Lepisosteus oculatus: one gene and its partner. The protein of the gene in region 1 purifies or fractionates together with the protein of each later gene. This does not show direct contact. Links are inferred from orthologs where the notes say so. Each region holds a gene or a part of one and is shown in the gene's direction. Other genes may lie near its edges. The genes, in order: apaf1 and cycsb.

Region 1 (10,405 bases):
TTCCGATCCCAACAGGTTTTTTGAACGAGGTACTGTTCTGACAGCTTTATTGTGTAATTCATAAAATAACTCCTATATTGAACAGCGTCCTGTTGATGCCCTTAAAACCAGTAAGAACCTCACTTGACATGATGATCTTAAGCAGTGAAAAGCGAAATGAGCAACAAACCATGATGTACAGTATTGCATCAATTTTGTGTAGGGTATCGTGGTACATCAATTGCAAGATTGGACGAATCTAAGCGAAGGGGAAAACTGCACTCCGAGATCTCCGCTGTTGAAAGCCTGTTGTCGAAGGCTGTGCATCGAGTCAAAGATCACTTCAATGACACGGTCACATATAAAGTAAGTGGCACTTGTATGTCCTCAGCTTCCGAAAAGTTTAAAGCACACTCAGGCTTTTTTTGTGTGCTGTTGTCTTTGCCTCTGTAGATTAACACGCTTAAAGCTTGCAATCACTATTTTTCAATATTCTTGCTTTTCCCTTTTGTCCTGAACAATCCCACTAGGATCACCTGAAATGTTAGAACTTGCACAGGTGAGGAGAAATGCTGTTTCTTAGCTGTCTCTAGAATGGAACTCAGTGCCAGCGCTGTAAATCTGTGTATTCAGGGCAGACTACTGTAGGACTGTGTAGTTTTTACACTGTTTTGGAATATGAAAGCTTGCTCACTTCCAGCAGATGGAAAACAAACTGAAATTTGAACTACATCTGATTCAGATAACCAGCAGCTAATAATCGCAAAAGAAATTGTGATGGGGATGAGAAAACATTTTGTAAATCCTTCAGGATTACATGAAAACATAATATTGAATGTTGCATATTTACGCTACCCTCCTTCTCAACAGAAAATGAGCCTTTTTGATTCTATTCACACAAAGTCAAGTGTCTGAGCCCTTCCTTTTGCGCGCTGCGATGGTGCTTGTGCTCATTACTGACGTGATGTGTGTTATGCAGCAACAGCGCCGGATCTCTGACTGCTCTGTTCGGCCTGTTTCAGGGCCGGCCCTATGCCGAGAAGATGCGCTGGGACAAAATCGAGATGCTCTACTGGCTGCAGCAGGGGCGCCGCATGCAGGCCATGGACAGGGTGCTAGAGTGTGGGGTGGGCCAGCCCGTCAGGCTGCCCCCCCTGCAGCTGCCACCCCAGCCTGGCTCAGGAGTAGCGGGGCACTCCCTGACGCACCCCACACCGCTGTGAGCGTGCCCACCCCTCAGCACCGCTCTCATCCTGGGACACCTGGACTCGCTCGCTTTTTACTTTTGAACTACTTGTCAGATTAAAGCACATTGAGAGGAAAAAATCCTCTTGATGTTGCAAGAAAATATATGATATGAGAAATGAATAAAAGCAGTTTCAGCAAGGGATGTTTGATGGCAAGTGCTTCAGCCAGGTGTGTTGGGGCTGTGCCTGTGGAAGTTTTTCAGGTGAGCGGAGTTTACCGTATCGGGACATTTCATTCATATATCAATTAAATAAAGGATTCGTTTACAGAATCCCACAAGACAGCATCTAAAACCTGGTGCCAAAAGGCCATGTCGCAGATGTACAGCTTGTGCTTTGTCCACACACACTACTAGACTCTTGACATTCATTGCTGACTCATCTTGATCATCCCCGTTGATGACAAATACACCTCAGTCTAAAACATTTACCTATGTCATGTCTAACCAACAGAATGACTGCATCTGTGCCAAAAAGGGTAATGATTTTCCTAATGACTTTATCTATATGTTGTAGTCAAAAGTAATAGTTATTTTTCTGATTCTCCGTGTACAACCCTTTCCGGTGTAAGGAATATGGATTGTGAGGATGTTGTGGATCAAAACTGTGTTTTTATTTAGATCTTTTATACTCCATTAATAATTCATTTTTTCTTTCATAAGCCAACACTAAATATTTAAGAGAGTAACAAGGGTTGTAAAGTAGGACATCCAAGAAGGAACTTTTAAAGTTTTAAACACAGATCTTTATGTTTAAAAGACCACATTGCGGTGCCTACAAATTTAAGCAATTTCTTCCTCAGAACTTTCTCCCTCAGAATATCTCTTGATAAAAGGGAAAAATGGACATGCCCAGAATGAATATGCAGGAATGTTAGAGACATAATAAAAGTCTTACATGTAAAAGTGTTACCAAAAACTTGATCTCAGAAGCTGAGAAAGGCTGGCTCTGCTCACTTATCAGATAGGAAACCTCTACGACAAACAAGGTTGCTGGTGTAAATGTTGGTAGAACAGTAGCAGTAACAGGTTGGAGAATCTAAACCGGAATCTCCTATCTAAAGTCTTCGTATGCTGCCTGGGGATACCGTCCTGTAGGAGGTGTTTTCCTTCAGTTAAGATATTTAGCTGAGGTCCTGATTAGCAGGCCATGATAGAGCCCAAGAGCTTTTACAATCTGGGCTCTGAAGTTTCTCTAACTCAAATGCTGAAGGCTCATCTCTCTCTTTTCTGCTTTATAATCTGTGTGCCGGGGCTTTCAACACAAAACTGGCTGCCATCTGCCACCAAAGGGTTTGCGGCACTTCAGCAATAGATTAATTCGTTCTCCAGCTTTTGGGATATAAAGTGATCTATTAATGTTAAGTAATAATAATTAAAGTTCTTCTACTTCTTCTCTAATGACATATATAGTAACAAGTAAGTAGTTTCAATCTGCTCATCTGTTTCACACGAACATAGAAAAGATTGCAAACAAGAGGAGGCCAGTTGTCCTGTTTGGTCTCTGTGTGCATTCACAAATAACAGTCTGAGGTTATTGTTCTTGCTGAAGTAGACAGGAAGAGCCTGACTATTTTTATATGTAGGGGCAGACCGTGAGAGATAAACCTCAGTAATGTTGTGCAAGGTAAATGTTAATCAGAGTTTTATCTTTACCATTTGATTCAATGTTTAAGTTACGATGAATGACTGAACATTGTAAGTTTGACGCAAGGTGTTGTTGAGGTACACTTAGTACACAGTCTGATACATGAAAGTAGAAGGACTCCTAAGGATTACTATCCTATGGTTCTAGGGGAAGAACTGGTTTTTAAAGTGGAACGACTAGCTTAATCAAACGATGGTCCTTCTGCTTTAAAGAATTGCCCATCCTTTTTAGTCACATGGTCCTTCTGGGTTGTTCCAAGTCCTTGCACTCAGTCGGTCCCACACTTAATGTATTAAAGTATGGGACAAATTGTTTATTCTTAACATATCAACCTGCAGCTCACCGCTGGCAGCCCACTGGAGCTCAGCAGGTGTGAGCCTGGTCAGTACCTGGATGGGAGACCTCCTGGAAAGCTAAGGTTGCTGCTGGAAGAGGTGTTAGTGGGGCCAGCAGGGGGCGCTCACCCTACAGTCTGTGTGGGTCCTAATGCCCCAGTATAGTGATGGGGACACTATACTGTAAAAATGAGTTTATGTAAAATGTGATGAGACATAAAACCGCAGTCCTGACTCTCTGTGGTCATTAAAAATCCTAGGGTGTTTCCCGGAAAGAGTAGGGGTGTAACCCCGGTGTCCTGGCCAAATTTCCCCCTGGCCTTTACCAGTCATGGCCTCCTAATAACCCCCATCTCTGAACTGGCTCCATCACTCTGCTCTCCTCCCCATTGAGAGCTGGTGTGTGGGGAGCGGACTGGCTCATCATCCAGGTGGGGCTGCACAGTGGTGGTGGTGGAGGGGATCCCCATTACCTGTAAAGAGCTTTGAGTGGAGTGTCCAGAAAAGTGCTATATAAGTGTAAGGAATAATAATAATAATAATTATTATTATTATTATTATTATTACTACCACTGTTTTGGGGTATATATGTAATGAAAAAGTCTCTCCAATTGTATTAGGTTTTTGATATTTAGAGATTTTGAAACAGTTGACAAAATCTCATTACCCGTTATCTTTCTGTTGTCCAATCAAATAGTTAAACCTTGTTGTTCAGTATCTCACATACATTGTTTTTTACTGTGGTCCAGTGCTTCTACTGCGCCTCACTTATTAAGTGAGAGATAAGTAACTGGTCAGAGCATACCTTACTCTAAAAGCACGTTTTGACCAGTATGTCACTGGGAGGTTTACTTTCCAAACTCAGGCTGCGGGTGTGAGCCTTGGCATTTGGCCTGACCAGGCATACACCCATGGGTGCAGATGTGAAATACAGACTACTGACAGAGAAACAGTGCAGTTCTCCAATACAGGAGGCCGATTCTGATCAGGCGTTATCTGCGCTGTCCCCAGTTACACATGGCTGAAGGGCAGCTCCATTTCTTCCGAGAGCCTTCTGTGGCAGCTCATCTTCCTCTGAAGAAGGCGGCTTGTCTCATCGGAACGCTAGGTGCTCCTCTCCGAGGTCTTGCGCCTGTGAGCCAGATTGAGGAAGCTGAAATGACATGAGAACATTAGAGTCTGTAGTCTGTATTTCACATCTGCACCCATGGGTGTATGGCGGACGGACCCTGGTCAGGCCAACTGCCAAGGCCCACACCTGCAGCCTGAGTTTGGAAAGAAAACCTCCCAGTGACATACCAGCCAAAACGTGCTTTTAGAGTAAGGTATGCTCTGGCCAGTTACTTATCTCTCACTTAATAAGTGAGGCGCAGTAGAAGCACTGGACCACAGTAAAAAACAATGTATGTGAGATACTGAACAACAAGCAGGTGTGCAAGCAGTGTGAGGGAGTGAAATACCTGGTCACTCACCTGTACTGGGCGCCTCGCAGAGTCTCACGGGCTCTTGGGCTGCTTCCTGAGCATAGTGCCCAAGAGGAACCCAGACCACTCGAGTGTCTTCTGCTTTCGTCAAAGGGGCGCATCTTGTTTCAGGTCGCCATACAGCTGGTGTATTTTAGCGAGCGCTCTGTATTCCTGTGTCTGAGCCATGGTGATGAAATGTGTTGCTGTTGTGAAGACACTGTCTACCACGAGGCGTGAGAGTCGAGGGGGTGGACGGGGTTTAACGGCTAGACCTTGATTTATAAACGCTCTTCCTCGGTCTCAGGGATAATTATTAAAATGAGCGAAATAATTAATTGTAATTATTATTTCCACGTTCGTTTAAGCCGTTTAATTAAAATTAACTTAAGGTGATCACACAATGCATTGGGTCAATATCGGCACATTTGCACATCTTTATCTTCATGCACAGAGAGCATACAGAGTCTCATTATAAAAGACATTATTAATGCACATTCCATGTTGCCCTATGGAACTCACTGCTCTGCCCAGATACAGCAGAGGTAGGCGGAGTCCCCCGCGTATCATGTGACCCAAGGGCGCGCAGCCAATTGGATGGCCGAACCAGGAAGTTGTTTCCACTCCAGGAAGTGCATTTAAACTGGTCTGACGTAAGGGAGGCGTTCTTTCTTGAAACATGTAAACAGAAACTGAACAGGGAGGAGCTGGTAATAGTTTCTGAAACCCTGAATTGCATCGGACATGAGACTATAGACGATGTAGAGGAAATTGAGATGCAAAGAAAACAACACTCCTTCTGGTAAGCGTCTTTAATTTGTTGGGGACTTGTGAGAAATTTATTTTTTATGTAATTCAACAACTGGTAGTTCATTATAATCAGCCCGACCGATTTGGACGTTGATCTCAGGTTCTGAGATCTGATAAACCTTGCCCGTTTATATAGATGCAAAAGAGGTGCTATCTAAGAGGAAATGTGTTTCTATGGTGACTTTTTAAATGTTAAACACGTACTCTGGATTTGCACTCGAAGGCTAACTGACGGTGGTCTTTCTGTAATTTCACGACAATTGATTTAAATGTCTCTTTCAGTTCAGTACAGAGAGTAGTTCATTCTCGGGTATTTACAGCCTGCTTCTCACAGGAATATTATCTTCAGTATTTGAAACAAATCCCTCGTTTTTTTAACTCCGTTCCTTCGTTGTGACTGCTCTTTTGGTCAAATCAACTAACGAATTTTACCTTTAAAACAGCAGTTTCGCCCAAGCATGTCAGCATTTTTTCCGTTTTACCCGAAATGCTGACATGCATGTAGAAAACAAAATTTCTACATTTTCTAGTAGTGCAGACCTTCCTCTCAACCTGTTTTAAAAGTTCTACAGTCCTCTTACGTGTCTTATTTTTATGATAAAGTAAAAGTTAAGTAAAGTTAAAGTATGATATGGTAACATTTAGTTATAAATAGAAAATATAAATATGCAAAGCATGCTTTGTTCGGAAATACAGAAATAGCTTGGCAAAGTGAAACAGGTCTCCACTATAGGTGTGGAGAAATCGATAGATTTGGTACTACGTCTCATCTTGGAACAATGACGAGAGAAAATAGGTTTCAATCTGAAACGGCGTTTTACCTTTATCAGCTGCTAAGAGAAATGATTGCTTCGGAAAAACTTTCAGCTAATGTTCTTATATTAGTAGTTCAGGCACAAAGTGAAAGAGACAGTACTACTTCAAAATGACTCAAGTGTAAACTTGTCAAGTGAACTTTGTTCCGTATAGGTTATTTTCGCGCTGCTTCCGAATGTTGTTATTAGGTAGGTTTAATGCCATCTGTATTTTATTTCCGTTTTGAAGAAAACCTTTGCAAATTGTCACTGGCCATTTGATCCTCGCACACAAACTCAATTGCCATAATTGTAGCAATATGTTTAAATATCTTTGGCTGTTTTTCAGAACCTCAAATAAACATTTATCTTTTCCTTTTTTAATATGGTCAAATTTAGTCTGGTTGTTTTTAAAGTGTAAATTCTGCAAAGTCTAAATGAATTCCTTACACTTATTATATAGCGCTTTTCTGGACACTCAAAGTGCTTTACAGGTAATGGGGATCTCCTCCACCACCACCAGTGTGCAGCCCCACCTGGATGATGCACCAGTACTTTTCCCACAGACCAGCTCTCAGTGGGGAGGAGAGCAGAATGATGAAGCCAGTTCAGAGATGGGGGTTATAAGGAGGCCAAGACTGGTAAAGGCCAAGGAGAAATTTGGCCAGGAAGCCAGGGTTACACCCCTACTCTTTTCAAGAAACACCCTACGATTTTTAATGACCACAGAGAGTCAGGACCTCAGTTTTACGTCTCATCCGAAGGACGGCACCTTTTTACAGTACAGTGTCCCCGTCACTGTACTGGGGCATTAGGACTGACATAGACCACAGGGTGAGCGCCCCCTGCTGGCCCCACTAACACCTCTTCCAGCAGCAGCCTCAGCTTTCCCAGGAGTCTCCCATCCAGGTACTGGCCAGGCTCACACCTGCTGGGCTTCAGTGGGCTGCCAGTGGTGAGCTGCAGGGTGACAGAGCTGCTGGCTGCTTTAGGTCTGGTTATAGGCCAGCTGCTGTGATGTGTCTTGTTGCTTTTCTTTTGTTTGTACAGCCTGACGTCGGCTGTCTTACTGGTGCCGCTGGTGTCTCCTGGCCGGAGTGAGAGCTGCATGTGTTGTTTCCAGCGGAGAGGTCATGGAGGAGCGGGCTCGCAGCAGGCTGTTGTGCTCCAGGTCCAAACTGGAGGACGATATCAAGGCCCTCTACCTCATGGACCACATGGTTAGCGATGAGGTGCTCAGCGCAGATGAAGAGGAGACCGTCAAAGCCAAGGTGTGCTTCCTTTTTCAGAAGCTTAGTGTTGAGCCTCCGGTATTTTAACCTAGAGTCCATATTCAGTCCTCCTGTTGGTGTCCCTCAGCTGACTAGACTTGAGTGCTCCTTGATGTTTAAGGTTCGATCCTGGGTGACATTTCTGATTGGTTGGCTGTGGGCGAAAGGAGAGAAATCCCATATTCACATCACTCCACTTGGTACAACAACAGGCTTCACTTCATGAAACCTCATGGGTCTAAACTTGGAACGTAGATAAAGCACTCTGTTCATTTACAAGCTTTTAAGCTACACCAGCAGTCCTGTGAAATGCACTGACTGTCACAAGTACAGCATGTTGTGGGAAACTGATTGAAGAAGGGAAGAGTAATTCTGGAACCCTTCCCCCCCCCAGAGTTTATGAGCTAACATATTCTTTAATCCTCTGAGGTTAATTTAACATCTTACTGAATGTGTCAGTCTTAGCTTGAGTATTGATGGTCCTGGTCTGTTAAGCAACTCCAGTTAGAAATGTTGGCGTCTTTGATCCAAACCTTGAATATGAAGCTCATGTTCATTATGTTGTAAAAGTGACATTTATCATGTTCATAATATCACTTGTATCCATTTATATGGCTCTCAACCTAATACAGAAAAGCTAATGCGTGCTTTTGTCTTAGCAGACTATTTTGATAGAGTGCTCTCTTGGGTTTCCAAAACATGATTTTCAAGTTGCAGCGTATTAACAGCTCAGGCTGCTCAGAACTGAACTAAAACTAAAATGCATGCGTGAACAGTTTGGCTCCTCATGAGATGAGTGAAGTGTTAATCCCCTACACATCTACGTGCTCTTTAGACTCTTATTTCAGTCCCCAATGCGAGGCTCCGGACCCTGTGGGGGACCCCGAGGGTCTGCTTTCTGTCCCATTGCTCCGAGGTTGCAAAGTGATCTCCCACCACGGATCAGATCTCGCAAGACAGTCAGCACTTTTGGCTCCTGTCTTCCAGCTCATTGGCACACTTGTATTCGTTTGATTTGCTGTTATTTGTGTGTTCCCATATCGGTATTTTTGATTGGTCCAATTATAATGAGGAGCCTTGAATTTAACATCATGAAAAGCACTCGGCACAAAAGTTTATTAGTAGTAATGATCAAATTTCACCTGACTGAAAAAGTAAAAATAATGCAGTTGTTAGCGGTTTAGGCTGTAAGGACATGAGAAAACAATGTGAATAGGCCGTTTAGCAGCAGATCTCATTGTTTTGTGTGCACATTGGTCATACAGAGACATGAGAACACAACGTTTCTTATGATCTTGGAGTCAGCTGATGAGCCTTTCCATCCCATGTTCTTGAATGGGCTTATGGCTCTCCCAACAGGAGTGCTTTTGACACCTGATCCCTCACAAGCCTTGAATGAAAGAAGAGCAGCTGACAAGTCACAGCACTTTTTACAGTGTGCATTTTCTGGTGGAGCTGCTATGTGTTTCCTTCCTCTTTTCACGCTGCTGTGTTGGTGTGATGAGCGCCGGACGTGTTTTTAACCTGTGTCTTGTGAAATAGTTTAACTGCCATTGTCCCACGGGAGAGATATGTGGGTAGCACAGTAGAGGAGCAGCAAGCACTTTCAGTTTCTGTGCTTTCTACAGTTGGGTGCCTTCTGTATGGAGCCCTGCGTGTTCTGTCTCTGGGCACTCCTGTGTCCTCCTGCTTCTTATCTTGATTGCCTCTGTGTGTACAGTCAGGACAGTCATGTATGCCCTGCAGTTGGCGGTGTCCTGATTTGTGACCTGTGTTTCCTGGAGAGGTTTCTGTGACCCTGGCCAGTAATAATCTGCTTTCTTTTATGATGTCCTGTATCTGAAACAGCGGGCGCTTATATCTGCAGTTTGCTCCATTTTCCACAGTTGCAGTATTTTTTGACCTTGTCAGAAGCCTAAAAGTTTCCATTATGAGATTAAAAGTCTTACTCCATCTCGGCGTGTTGTCAGGTGTCTCTGCTATTGCTTCATTAGTTCTATTCATTGAGAGTTTAATTGTCCCCATTACAAGTGTGTGTGACTGTGTGTGTTCTGTCATGAACTGGCGTCCCTGGGTGAAAGTAACCCTGGGTGTAACTTGGTGTCCCGCAAAGTGGCAAAGAAAAGTAACAGAGGTGCTCAAAAAAAATAAAACGATTTGTTTTCTCAAGGTGTCATGGCAAACCTATTGAAGATCTGCTGTTTAAGATCAACAGCTTTCAGCATGATGACATTCACCTGGTCTACTCTTAACCCTGTGTTCTGTACCTTTGTGTTTAATTTCCTTTTTCCTCTCGACCGACAGGCAACCCGGAGGGAGCAAGCGGCCGCCTTGATCGATTTGATTTTAAGGAAGGATAACCATGCCTACGTCTCTCTCTACAACGCTCTGATCCGCGAGAGCTACAGTGACCTCGCCTCCCTGCTGCAGAAGGACCTTCCTCTGATCTCGCCCAGAGCCGACAAGAGCTTCCCGGATGGCGAGAATCCCGGAGGTGAGGTCGCGCAGCGGTTTTCCTGCGTTATCACCTGTATTCGAAAAATATCCGTGTTGTGCAGTGCAGTCTTATTGTGTAATGTATGCAGACCAGGGATTCCAAATATAGAGTTATTATTATAGAGTTCCTTCAGTGTTTATTTTCCAACTGCATGTTTCCCTTTATACAGTCATTAGCAGCCCCTGTGTCTTCACTAGATCCCAGTTGAGTGCAAATCGTTCACTGCCATCTGGGGTTTAGGGTGACTTTGTCATGAGCTGTGACTTCAGTCATTGTAACAGCGATCATTGTGCGGAGAACTGCGCATGTGTTCTGTTAAAAAGCATACTTGTCTGGACAACTTCTTGAGCTGCTGGCGAGAC
Region 2 (9,993 bases), on another chromosome or scaffold:
AGGCCCTCAGAACTCTGGGACAGATGTTATCTGGTCCTGTGGCCTTACCCTCGTGCAGCCTCTTCAGCTCCTTCTTCACCTGGTCAGCTGTGATGGTCAGCCTGGCCCGGGGGATGATGCTCATAGTGCTTTCAGTGCTGGAGGTGTTAATGGCGGAGGTGTTGGAGAGTGGCAGCTGTGGGGGATGGGTGGGTGAGCAGCCGTCGGGGCTTGTAGCTGTAGGCGGCCATGTTTGTGGGGGGATGGAGGAGGTGTTGGGCAGTTGCAGCTGTGAAGGGTTAGGGAGCGTGTGGCTGTGGGGGGATGGGTGTTGCGCCACAGAGGACCCAGAATCAAACCTGTTAAAGAACTGGTTCAACTCGTTGGCCATCTCCAGGTTCCCTTCTGTTGCAACCCCAGCCTGTTTGAAGCCAGTGATCTCTCTCATGCTGCTCCATACATCTCTCACCCTATTCCTTTGCAGCTTGTCCTCTACCTTCCTCCTGTAGGCGTCCTTGCTCTCTCTTAACTTCTGCTTTAGCTCCCTCTGTACACGCTTGACCTCTTCCTTATCTCCCCCCCTAAAGGCTCTCTTCTTGTCATTCAGAAGAGCCTTCAGGTCGCTGGTGATCCAGGGTTTGTTATTTGAAAAGCAGTGTACGTCTTTGGTGGGGATGGTGTTGTCTACGCAGAAGTTAATATAGTCAGTGACACAGTCCACCATGCTGTCTATGTCGTCCCCATGTGGTTCGAACAGCACATCCCAGTTGGTGGCCTCCAAAGCACCACGTAGATCCTCCATAGCATCCTGAGACCATCTCCTCACAGTCCTCATGGTCACAGATTGGCGCTGGACAATAGGCTTGTATAGTGGTGTAAGCAAGACAAGGTTGTGATCTGATCTGCCAAGGGGGGGAAGGGCTGTGGAACTATATGCATCCTTAGCATTGGCATATAATAAGTCCAGTGTTTTGTTTTCCCTGGTCGGGCACTTAACAAACTGGTGGAAAGTAGGCAGAGTGGTGGAAATAGATACGTGGTTAAAGTCCCCTGAAATAGCTATAAAAGCGCTTGGGTGCTTTGTTTGTAGCCTGCCTGTGACTGTGTTTATGACGTCACACGCTACCTCTGCATTTGCCGTAGGTGGAATGTAAACAACAACAAAGATGGCGCATGTAAACTCCCGCAGCAGATAGTATGGACGCAGTCCTACGGCTACCAGTTCGATGTCCGGGTTACAGACGCGCTCCTTAACATGAATATGTCCAGGATTACACCATCTGTTGTTTACAAGCACCGCGAGCCCCCCTCCTTTCCTCTTACCGCTCTCGGTGTTTCTGTCCGCCCGCACCGTCTGAAAGCCGCCGATGGTAACGTTCGAGTCCGGAATAAGTTCCTGCAGATGGACATATTTGTTGAATACTTGCTGAATAAACACAAAAAATTGAAAATAAAATAGAAACCAATCCACAAAAATGCAGTTATCAGATGAAGAGCATTGCTCTGTAAGGGAAAAAGTAAAGGTTTATGCTGAAAAGAGAAGAAAAAAAACACAACTGTAATGAATGCGTCCTTTCAGGACCCTATGCAGATGACACAATCTGAGGAAGAGTGAGGAAAACACAGGGAAAAAAGCATGCAGGGGTCAGGATTGAAAACAGGGGGTGTGTCCATGGTGCGCAGGTGTTCTGGGGGGTGAATCCAAGGCAAACTGTCCAAAAGGGAGTCCAAAGGGAAATCCAAGATGAGGCAAATGTCCAGAGCCGGGTGGTCCATCCGAGACTAAGACAAATGGGATTAAAAACCGAAGGGGGATTCGGGGGATTCGGTGGACGGTCAGGGGGAAAAGGGGGGGAACGGGACCAGGCACTACAAGTCCCGGACTCCCCTGGAACAGGAACCAATGCAGAGCCCGGAACAGAGTGAGCGACTGGCTTTTAAGGTGGGCTGAATAGGAGGCTGGAACAGGGGGCAGGTTCCCACAATCAACCCAGAAGTGAAAGAGCTGGAGCACCCTTAAGGGGGAGGGACTACAATCATGACAACAACGTTTTGGCTGTGTAGCTTTCTTCAGGTGAGAGAAAAAGAGGAAAGTCAATAGATAATAAAGCATGGGAGAACAAAAGGCAGAGTGGGCACTCAGATGTCGAGAGAGGTGAAGACAGGTGTAAAGTGAAAACCTGCAAATGAAGAGAGAGGATTAGAAGGAAATGTGTCTGTTGTTGAGAGAAGGGGGAAGGATAATTTTGGTTTCAGATGTCTTTCTGCAATAGGAGCGTAGAAACTCCCCTTTGAGAACGCAGACGGAGAGATCAGTATGATCATGGCCATTGGAGGTGAAATGAGAAACTATGGGCTTGGAGAGATCTTTGATCCTCACAGCCCTGACATATTACCTGAAGCGGTCTCCCAGTCTCCTTCCTGTTTCCCCAATGTAGATACAGTAGCTGGGCATTTTCTGCAAGAGATCCAGTAGATAAGGCTGCTAGAGGTACAATATGTCATCTGGGTGATCCAGAATTGTCCAGAGGGGCCTTGAATGTGTGTGGTATTGGATATACAGTATACGTATTTACAGGTTATGCAGCGAATTCTGTTGCAGGGGAAAGTGCCTGGTGTGGATGATTGCTGAGGGCGGACAAGGGAGCTGTGAACAAAAATGTTAGGCAGATTAGGTGGTTTGAAATATGAGATGGTGGGGCAGGCATAAAAAATGGTACCAGTGGAGGGATCATCCGGTAAGATGGGGAAGTTTTTGTTAATGGTCCTGGTGATAGAAAGGATGTTAGGGTGACAGGGAAGCACCAATGAAATGCAGTTGTGAGACTGGAAATTCCTGATTGAGTTGATGATATGAGGGCTGTTTATGGCTAAGGTGAGGGCCCTGTCAATAACATGGGTGTATCCTCTGCTGATGGAAAAAAAGATGTTTTTGGAAATCCATGTCATCACTGCAAAGTCGTCAGAGCCTTAGGAACTGTGAAAAAGGGAGAGAATTTTTAGTTTGTGTGGGGTGAAATGAGCTGTACAAGAGATAGCTGTGTGAATCTGTGGGTTTGTAATAGACAGAAGTAGAGTCGTGGTTGGTTAATGGATAGGTTTATGTCTAGAAATGGAATAGAAGAAGATATGTTAACTGTATACTTGAGGGATGGGTGGAAGTTGATGAAGTGATGCTGGAAATGCTCTAGCTGGTCATTAGAGCATGTGGCGACACCGATGCAGTCATCAATGTAGACGTTGGGGACAACATTGGTGTAGGCAGCATAGAAGCATTTTTCTACCCAGCCGACAAAAATATCATAGCTGAGTCCCATCCTGGTGCCCATGGCGACTCCACTAACCTGCTCATAAAAAAGGTTATTGAATGAGAAAGCATTCAGTGTGAGGACCAATTCCGCAAGACGTACAAGATGTGATGTCCATGGTAAAAATGTAACATTCTGGGCCCTGAAACTGGAAATCATTAAAAAGTTAGAGGGTATGGTTGGTGTCCTTGATATATGAAGGAAGCCCTTCAACCAGCGGTCTCATAAGGCTGTCGAAAAAGGCAGAGATGTGAGTTGTGGGACAGTTGCATGCTGAGACGATAGGGTGTCCAGGGGTTGCTCTGTAAGGTCAGCAGTTTGGAGCAATGGTCAGAACTCTGACCAAATCAGGACCAACTTTGTAAGTGAAAGGTTGTGATTTCATATCCTAATTGAGATACTGCTATGGTACCCCTAGATGAAGTACTTCACCTAAATTGTTCCAGGGAAATGTCCAGCTATATGAACAGGTAAAAATGTAAAGTTGCTTTGGATGTTAGTGTCAGCCAAATAAAAATGTACAGCAACCGTAAAACGGGATGTAGTAGCTATTATGTGAAATTATTAACTGATTTTTGTATCATTCTGCAGAAGGTGATTTTGCAGTTTATTGTTTAACAATTCACCAGTTTTTAATGTAGGTCACATGGATAAATGGGTAAGTTAAAGAATTAAAAGTAAGAAAAAAAACACCAACACACAAGCCAGAGGAAAAAAAAGACTTGACACAGGTGTGCAAATTATAATGAGCTCTTTACTAACTCTTGCCTATAGCAAAATGCATCAGATAGAAGTCCTGGCACAAAAGATCAGAAAATCTGCCAGCAGCTCATTGTATCAAGGAATCCCATGAGATGCATTTCCCAATTTGGAGTGTAACATACTGTACATATAAACCTTATCTAGGCCATGGCAAAGTTGCAGTGTCATCATGAATCTCTTCTCATCCCTGGGTTGTGTTCTGGGACACAATTGCCTGTACATGTTTTTGCTCAATGAATCATACAGTATTTCTTCTATTAATCAAGTGAAGACAGCAATTTTCTGGTATGCTGATGTCAATAAAAAAGAAAAAAAGGCAATCACCTTCCTTACCATTATAATCCTGTGTCTTAGAAAAAATACAGGAATGAGTAGCTTAACCATCAAGTGACCTTCAGCAAACTTAATCACATACCTGGGAGCAGTTTTCTACATAGAGAGCAGAGACATTGGTCTTAACCAATATTGCATTACAGTAATTTATTTTACAGATAAACTGATTTTTTTTATCTATATATAAAAGAACTTTTCTTCTCCAGCCAGACTACCCATTTACCCACTGTTTAATGGCTGACTTCAAAGGCTTATGTGTGTTATTTGCTTATTGACAAACATGAAACACATTCATGTTCATTATTCTACTCGACCATGTACTTTTCTATTGCATAATTCATAATTCTTGGATGCATTTAATATAATTTAAAAAATATTCATGGTACAAAGAACTAACATTTCCTAATTTAGAATTTTAAAATGCTGTTATAGATTCGGCAATAACAATGATAATGGAAAAGGAGAACATGCAAATAAAACCATCGTCTTAGATCTATTTCAGAGGGGCTATAAAACCTTAACACACATGTCCCTTTTCAAGAGCTAAACATTCTTATTTCATGCAAAAATCAATCTTAAGAAGCCGCTACTCCATGAGATATAATAATAATACATTGAAAATATTCAACAGATATAACCACAAAGACCCCCAAATGCATGACGTGTGTTAATGAGCAAAACTCAAAGTTGCGAAATGTTATTTTGGACGACCATAGGGTTGCCATTCCAAAATATCTATGCATCAGACTTCTATCTGATGCATTTTGCTATAGGCAAGAGTTAGTAAAGAGCTCATTATAATTTGCACACCTGTGTCAAGTCTTTTTTTTCCTCTGGCTTGTGTGTTGGTGTTTTTTTTCTTACTTTTAATTCTTTAACTTACCCATTTATCCATGTGACCTACATTAAAAACTGGTGAATTGTTAAACAATAAACTGCAAAATCACCTGCATTTATCATGAATCTCTTCTCATCCCTGGGTTGTGTTCTGGGACACAATTGCCTGTACATGTTTTTGCTCAATGAATCATACAGTATTTCTTCTATTAATCAAGTGAAGACAGCAATTTTCTGGTATGCTGATGTCAATAAAAAAGAAAAAAAGGCAATCACCTTCCTTACCATTATAATCCTGTGTCTTAGAAAAAATACAGGAATGAGTAGCTTAACCATCAAGTGACCTTCAGCAAACTTAATCACATACCTGGGAGCAGTTTTCTACATAGAGAGCAGAGACATTGGTCTTAACCAATATTGCATTACAGTAATTTATTTTACAGATAAACTGATTTTTTTTATCTATATATAAAAGAACTTTTCTTCTCCAGCCAGACTACCCATTTACCCACTGTTTAATGGCTGACTTCAAAGGCTTATGTGTGTTATTTGCTTATTGACAAACATGAAACACATTCATGTTCATTATTCTACTCGACCATGTACTTTTCTATTGCATAATGCCAATCTACAGTTGTCTCGTTTTCCGCAGTTCAAACCTGCATATCTCATTATGAATCCATAATCTTAAAAATAGACATTTGGCCTTGCTAATTAACAAATCCTGGACAGAGAAGCCAATACATAGATATTTTGGAATGGCAACCCTATGGTCGTCCAAAATAACATTTCGCAACTTTGAGTTTTGCTCATTAACACACGTCATGCATTTGGGGGTCTTTGTGGTTATATCTGTTGAATATTTTCAATGTATTATTATTATATCTCATGGAGTAGCGGCTTCTTAAGATTGATTTTTGCATGAAATAAGAATGTTTAGCTCTTGAAAAGGGACATGTGTGTTAAGGTTTTATAGCCCCTCTGAAATAGATCTAAGACGATGGTTTTATTTGCATGTTCTCCTTTTCCATTATCATTGTTATTGCCGAATCTATAACAGCATTTTAAAATTCTAAATTAGGAAATGTTAGTTCTTTGTACCATGAATATTTTTTAAATTATATTAAATGCATCCTTGTCGCTTTCTGATTCATTCCGGACATATTTAGATGCATTTTTGCTCTCTTGGCAACTCAATATCTGGTAATAACAACTGGATTCTTTACAATAACGTCGTGTCAACGTTTCACCGACAACAGCACAAAAACTGCGCAATGCCACAACATAGACAATGTCCATTAAATGTCCTTTCTTCACCACACTAACCTTGAGATCGGTACTGTTTTAGATACACGCAAAGTAATGAAAAACAGATGAAGGAGCTGGTAAATTATTTGGGTATAACACCACAGTGTCAAATGTACATTTTTAATTTAAAGGTTAAAACTGTTACACTGTAATATCAAACTCTTTTAAACTTTAGTAACCCTGCTAGCAATAGAACAGTCTCCCTGCACGTAATCCGCCCTACAGGTATCAGAAACAGAACACGGACGTGGCACAATGGTTTCGTTTTTTATGATATCTTTAAATTCGCACTGAACCGATCACCCACACGCTCCCATCCTCTTCTCCCATATAAGGACGGGCTATAACTGCTCCCCTGTTTTCGTCACTGTGAGGAAGGTTGGCATGGAGCACATGATTGGCTTGCGCTAGTCTGTGACGTCAATTATCCGCGTCTGTAAATCGTGTGACCTTCTAGTAATTTGTGAAGTTTTTCTTTAACCGGCTGGAGAGGGTGCGGGTGGTGCATTGCATAAGGTTCTTTGTTCTGGGATTTATCATAAAGGTAAGGAATGTTGTTGTGTTTTTCGTCCTTTTTCCTCTTATTTTCTTCCCCATCGATGTTACGTTTGAGCATCTTGAAGTTACGAGTCGTTTAATATATTAAATGTTGTGTCCTTGTTGGAGGTGAGCAAAAAAGGCTTGCGGAAGAGCGCTCTTAGGCCGGCATGTCGATAATGTGAAACCACTGAAGAAAGAGTCCACGAGTGTTTTATTCTTTAAAGATAGATGATATGTCAATTATAAATACCGTCCAATTATTTTCTCTATTTAGTGTAAAATTGAAGCTTTCATTCGGATCACACCGGAAGCTTACTGAGTTCTGTCGCTTAATCGAGTGCAAGTGGCCTTAAAGGCGTGTAAGCGAGTATCGCCTTTTTTGTCATTAAAAACATCTCCAACAGGTGGATTAATCTTTTTATTGGAGTACGGACTTTAAAATGAAAGAAGAAAATGACAAATACGGAAGGCTTGATCAACTGTACAGTTTATATTTAAGTTTAAAATCTCCTTAAAGGTCGTTATTGTTCTGGTGTACTTCAATAGGATTGTGTGACTTGATTAAATCAACTCTATCCCATCTTAAACGTGTTAATTCGAATGTTTGTTCTTGAAAAGCTGTCTTTAGTCACCTTTGATTAACTTACTCCTGTAGCAGATCGTCAGATTATATTAACTTGGTCATAAAAATGTTTGTAAAGAAATGTAGCTGTTCACACATCATTTCAGAAGTTGACCTTTACCAGAATTTTATCACCTTCAGGACATGAGGAGTTTTAAAGATTTTATCATGTTACAATATTGTCAATTACAAATTGTGGTTTATACTTTATTCTTAAAGGATAACTGTTGGCTTTATCATGTTCAAAATAGGATGTGTCTGTAGTTTGAAAGAGCTCCACTTTGTTTAGTTTCATATAAGCTGTCACAAATCCATTCTGAAATATTGAGGTTCATAACATTGTCAGCTGTTTTGGATGATTTTAAATGTTTATTCTTTTCTTGTTTGAACAGGGAGGGATCATGGCTGATGCGGAAAAGGGAAAAAAGGTTTTTGTGCAGAAGTGTGCGCAGTGTCACACGGTTGAGAAGGGAGGAAAGCACAAGGTCGGCCCAAACCTGTGGGGTCTGTTTGGGCGCAAGACGGGCCAGGCAGAAGGCTTTTCTTACACGGAGGCAAACAAGAACAAAGGTATGTAGGTGGATTATATGCTGTATCTGTTGCACAAATGCAGTAACCTCTTGTTTGCAAGACTAATGTCTCTTCTCTCCTGTTTAAATTTCAGGCATTGTGTGGGGTGAAGATACCCTCATGGAATACCTGGAAAACCCGAAGAAATATATTCCAGGAACCAAAATGATTTTTGCTGGCATCAAGAAGAAGGGAGAGCGGGCTGATCTAATTGCATATTTGAAGAAGGCAACGTCTGAATAGAAAATGTTCATCTTAAATTAATTGCAGTGTACAGTCAGCTTTGATGTTATGTCTTTGTTAGTGGACTATATTAAACTTTTTAATCTCTAACAATCACAGTCTGTCTTGTCTTTCTCAGTGTATTATTCTGTAGTTCGCCTTCATCTGTTATGTGAATCACTATTAAATGTTTTATGTTGAATTATCTTAAGTTGTAAATTAAGGGTACAACCTCCAATTCTCAAAGGCATGTTGCACATAAGTCTACCAAAATGATACCCAGATTGTTCCAAAGAACCTCCAATTGGAAGGAGTAAACTTTTTCCCTGGTTCCATGGGTGAAAGTGAAGTTGAGACACTTTTAATCTGGAAATACTAAAATTCTAAAACTAGTTTGTGAAAGCAGCTGTACATCTTTTAAAATAATTATCATGATTGAACTGATGCATCTTTTATTTCAGTTTTATGATAGATGGGGGGCTGTTGTATGTTAGCAACATGATACGGTAGTTTCTTGACAGCGTGCTGATTAAAGCCTTGATTAAAGCTTGGCTGAGAAATAACCTCAGGATCTGCTTATCCTTGAAGAGTTAATACACTTAATAGAGCCTCTCTTCGGGGTTTAATCAGCAATATCCATTTAGTTAATTTGTTTTTAGGTTAATCTAATATTTTAATTTGTTTCTTTCTTCCCTGGTTTTTAGCAAGGACTAAAATGTAATATCTGGCATTTCAGTGTTCACAAGTTTTAAAACTTAAATCAGTTATTTTTAAAATTTGTTTTTTCTTATGCTTCTGACCTTGACAGTTAATTGAATCTGCTCTGTCATTTGCTTGTTCCCACGAAGGATTTTGCCAGGTTTCTACTGAATATCTGTATCTTTGTAATATCTTACAAAGATATTCTAGCGGTCTTCTGGACCCTAAGAAGTGAATCTGTTTAGCCTTAAAAACAGAAGACCACTAGGAGGAGCTTATCCAAATACATTGTTTTTCAGATATTGGACCAAAAAAGGAAAACACTGGGTAATCAGGGATGTCAAGTAGATTAAAAGCAAAGGTTTCCATACAGATGTGCCTCATGTGTTAAGTAAGCAAGTATCATCCCAGCATTCTTTGTGTCAGGTACAAACATGTAAGACAGGCCTGGGTGCCTATAATTACGGCTGCCGTGGCAACAAGAGGGGAGCTCTAACTTTGAAAGTGACAGCATTTAAGGTGCTGTCAGTGTTGAACTCCAAACTAAAGATATCACTGGCAATGGGGAACAGTGCGTGAAAGGGCATACTCTGCGATTGTGATATCCACACATTTGTGTGAAGTGCAAGCCAAAACAGATGAGCAACCCTGGTTGCAAGAAGACTGTTTTATCAAATACATTCTGTTGTGAACTACACAGGGTGGGATACCATTGTCTGGTTGCAGTGTACAAACAGGTTCGGGTGGGTCTGTAATGCTGTGGGACACATTTTTCTGGCATGGTTTTGGTGCACTCAATCCCTTAGGAAGCAA

What was found.
Region 2: the proteins of apaf1 (region 1) and cycsb purify together in Homo sapiens (affinity purification with western blotting; 3 studies listed by BioGRID and IntAct, with this or other methods). This does not show direct contact. The link is inferred for Lepisosteus oculatus from reciprocal best matches to the Homo sapiens genes APAF1 and CYCS.

What each region holds. Positions count from the first base shown.
Region 1 is NC_090702.1:55,217,900-55,228,304, forward strand, and holds the start of apaf1 (apoptotic protease-activating factor 1), read left to right. Parts: upstream 1-5,333; 5' UTR 5,334-5,473; intron 5,474-7,325; 5' UTR 7,326-7,408; coding exon 7,409-7,546; intron 7,547-9,850; coding exon 9,851-10,040; intron 10,041-10,405. Other genes in the region: ccdc87 (coiled-coil domain-containing protein 87), read left to right, coding at 1-29, 203-345, 1,002-1,202. UniProt on the Homo sapiens protein: Oligomeric Apaf-1 mediates the cytochrome c-dependent autocatalytic activation of pro-caspase-9 (Apaf-3), leading to the activation of caspase-3 and apoptosis. This activation requires ATP. Isoform 6 is less effective in inducing apoptosis.
Region 2 is NC_090707.1:17,826,825-17,836,817, reverse strand, and holds cycsb (cytochrome c), read left to right. Parts: upstream 1-6,962; 5' UTR 6,963-7,071; intron 7,072-8,081; 5' UTR 8,082-8,090; coding exon 8,091-8,259; intron 8,260-8,353; coding exon 8,354-8,502; 3' UTR 8,503-8,595; downstream 8,596-9,993. UniProt on the Homo sapiens protein: Electron carrier protein. The oxidized form of the cytochrome c heme group can accept an electron from the heme group of the cytochrome c1 subunit of cytochrome reductase.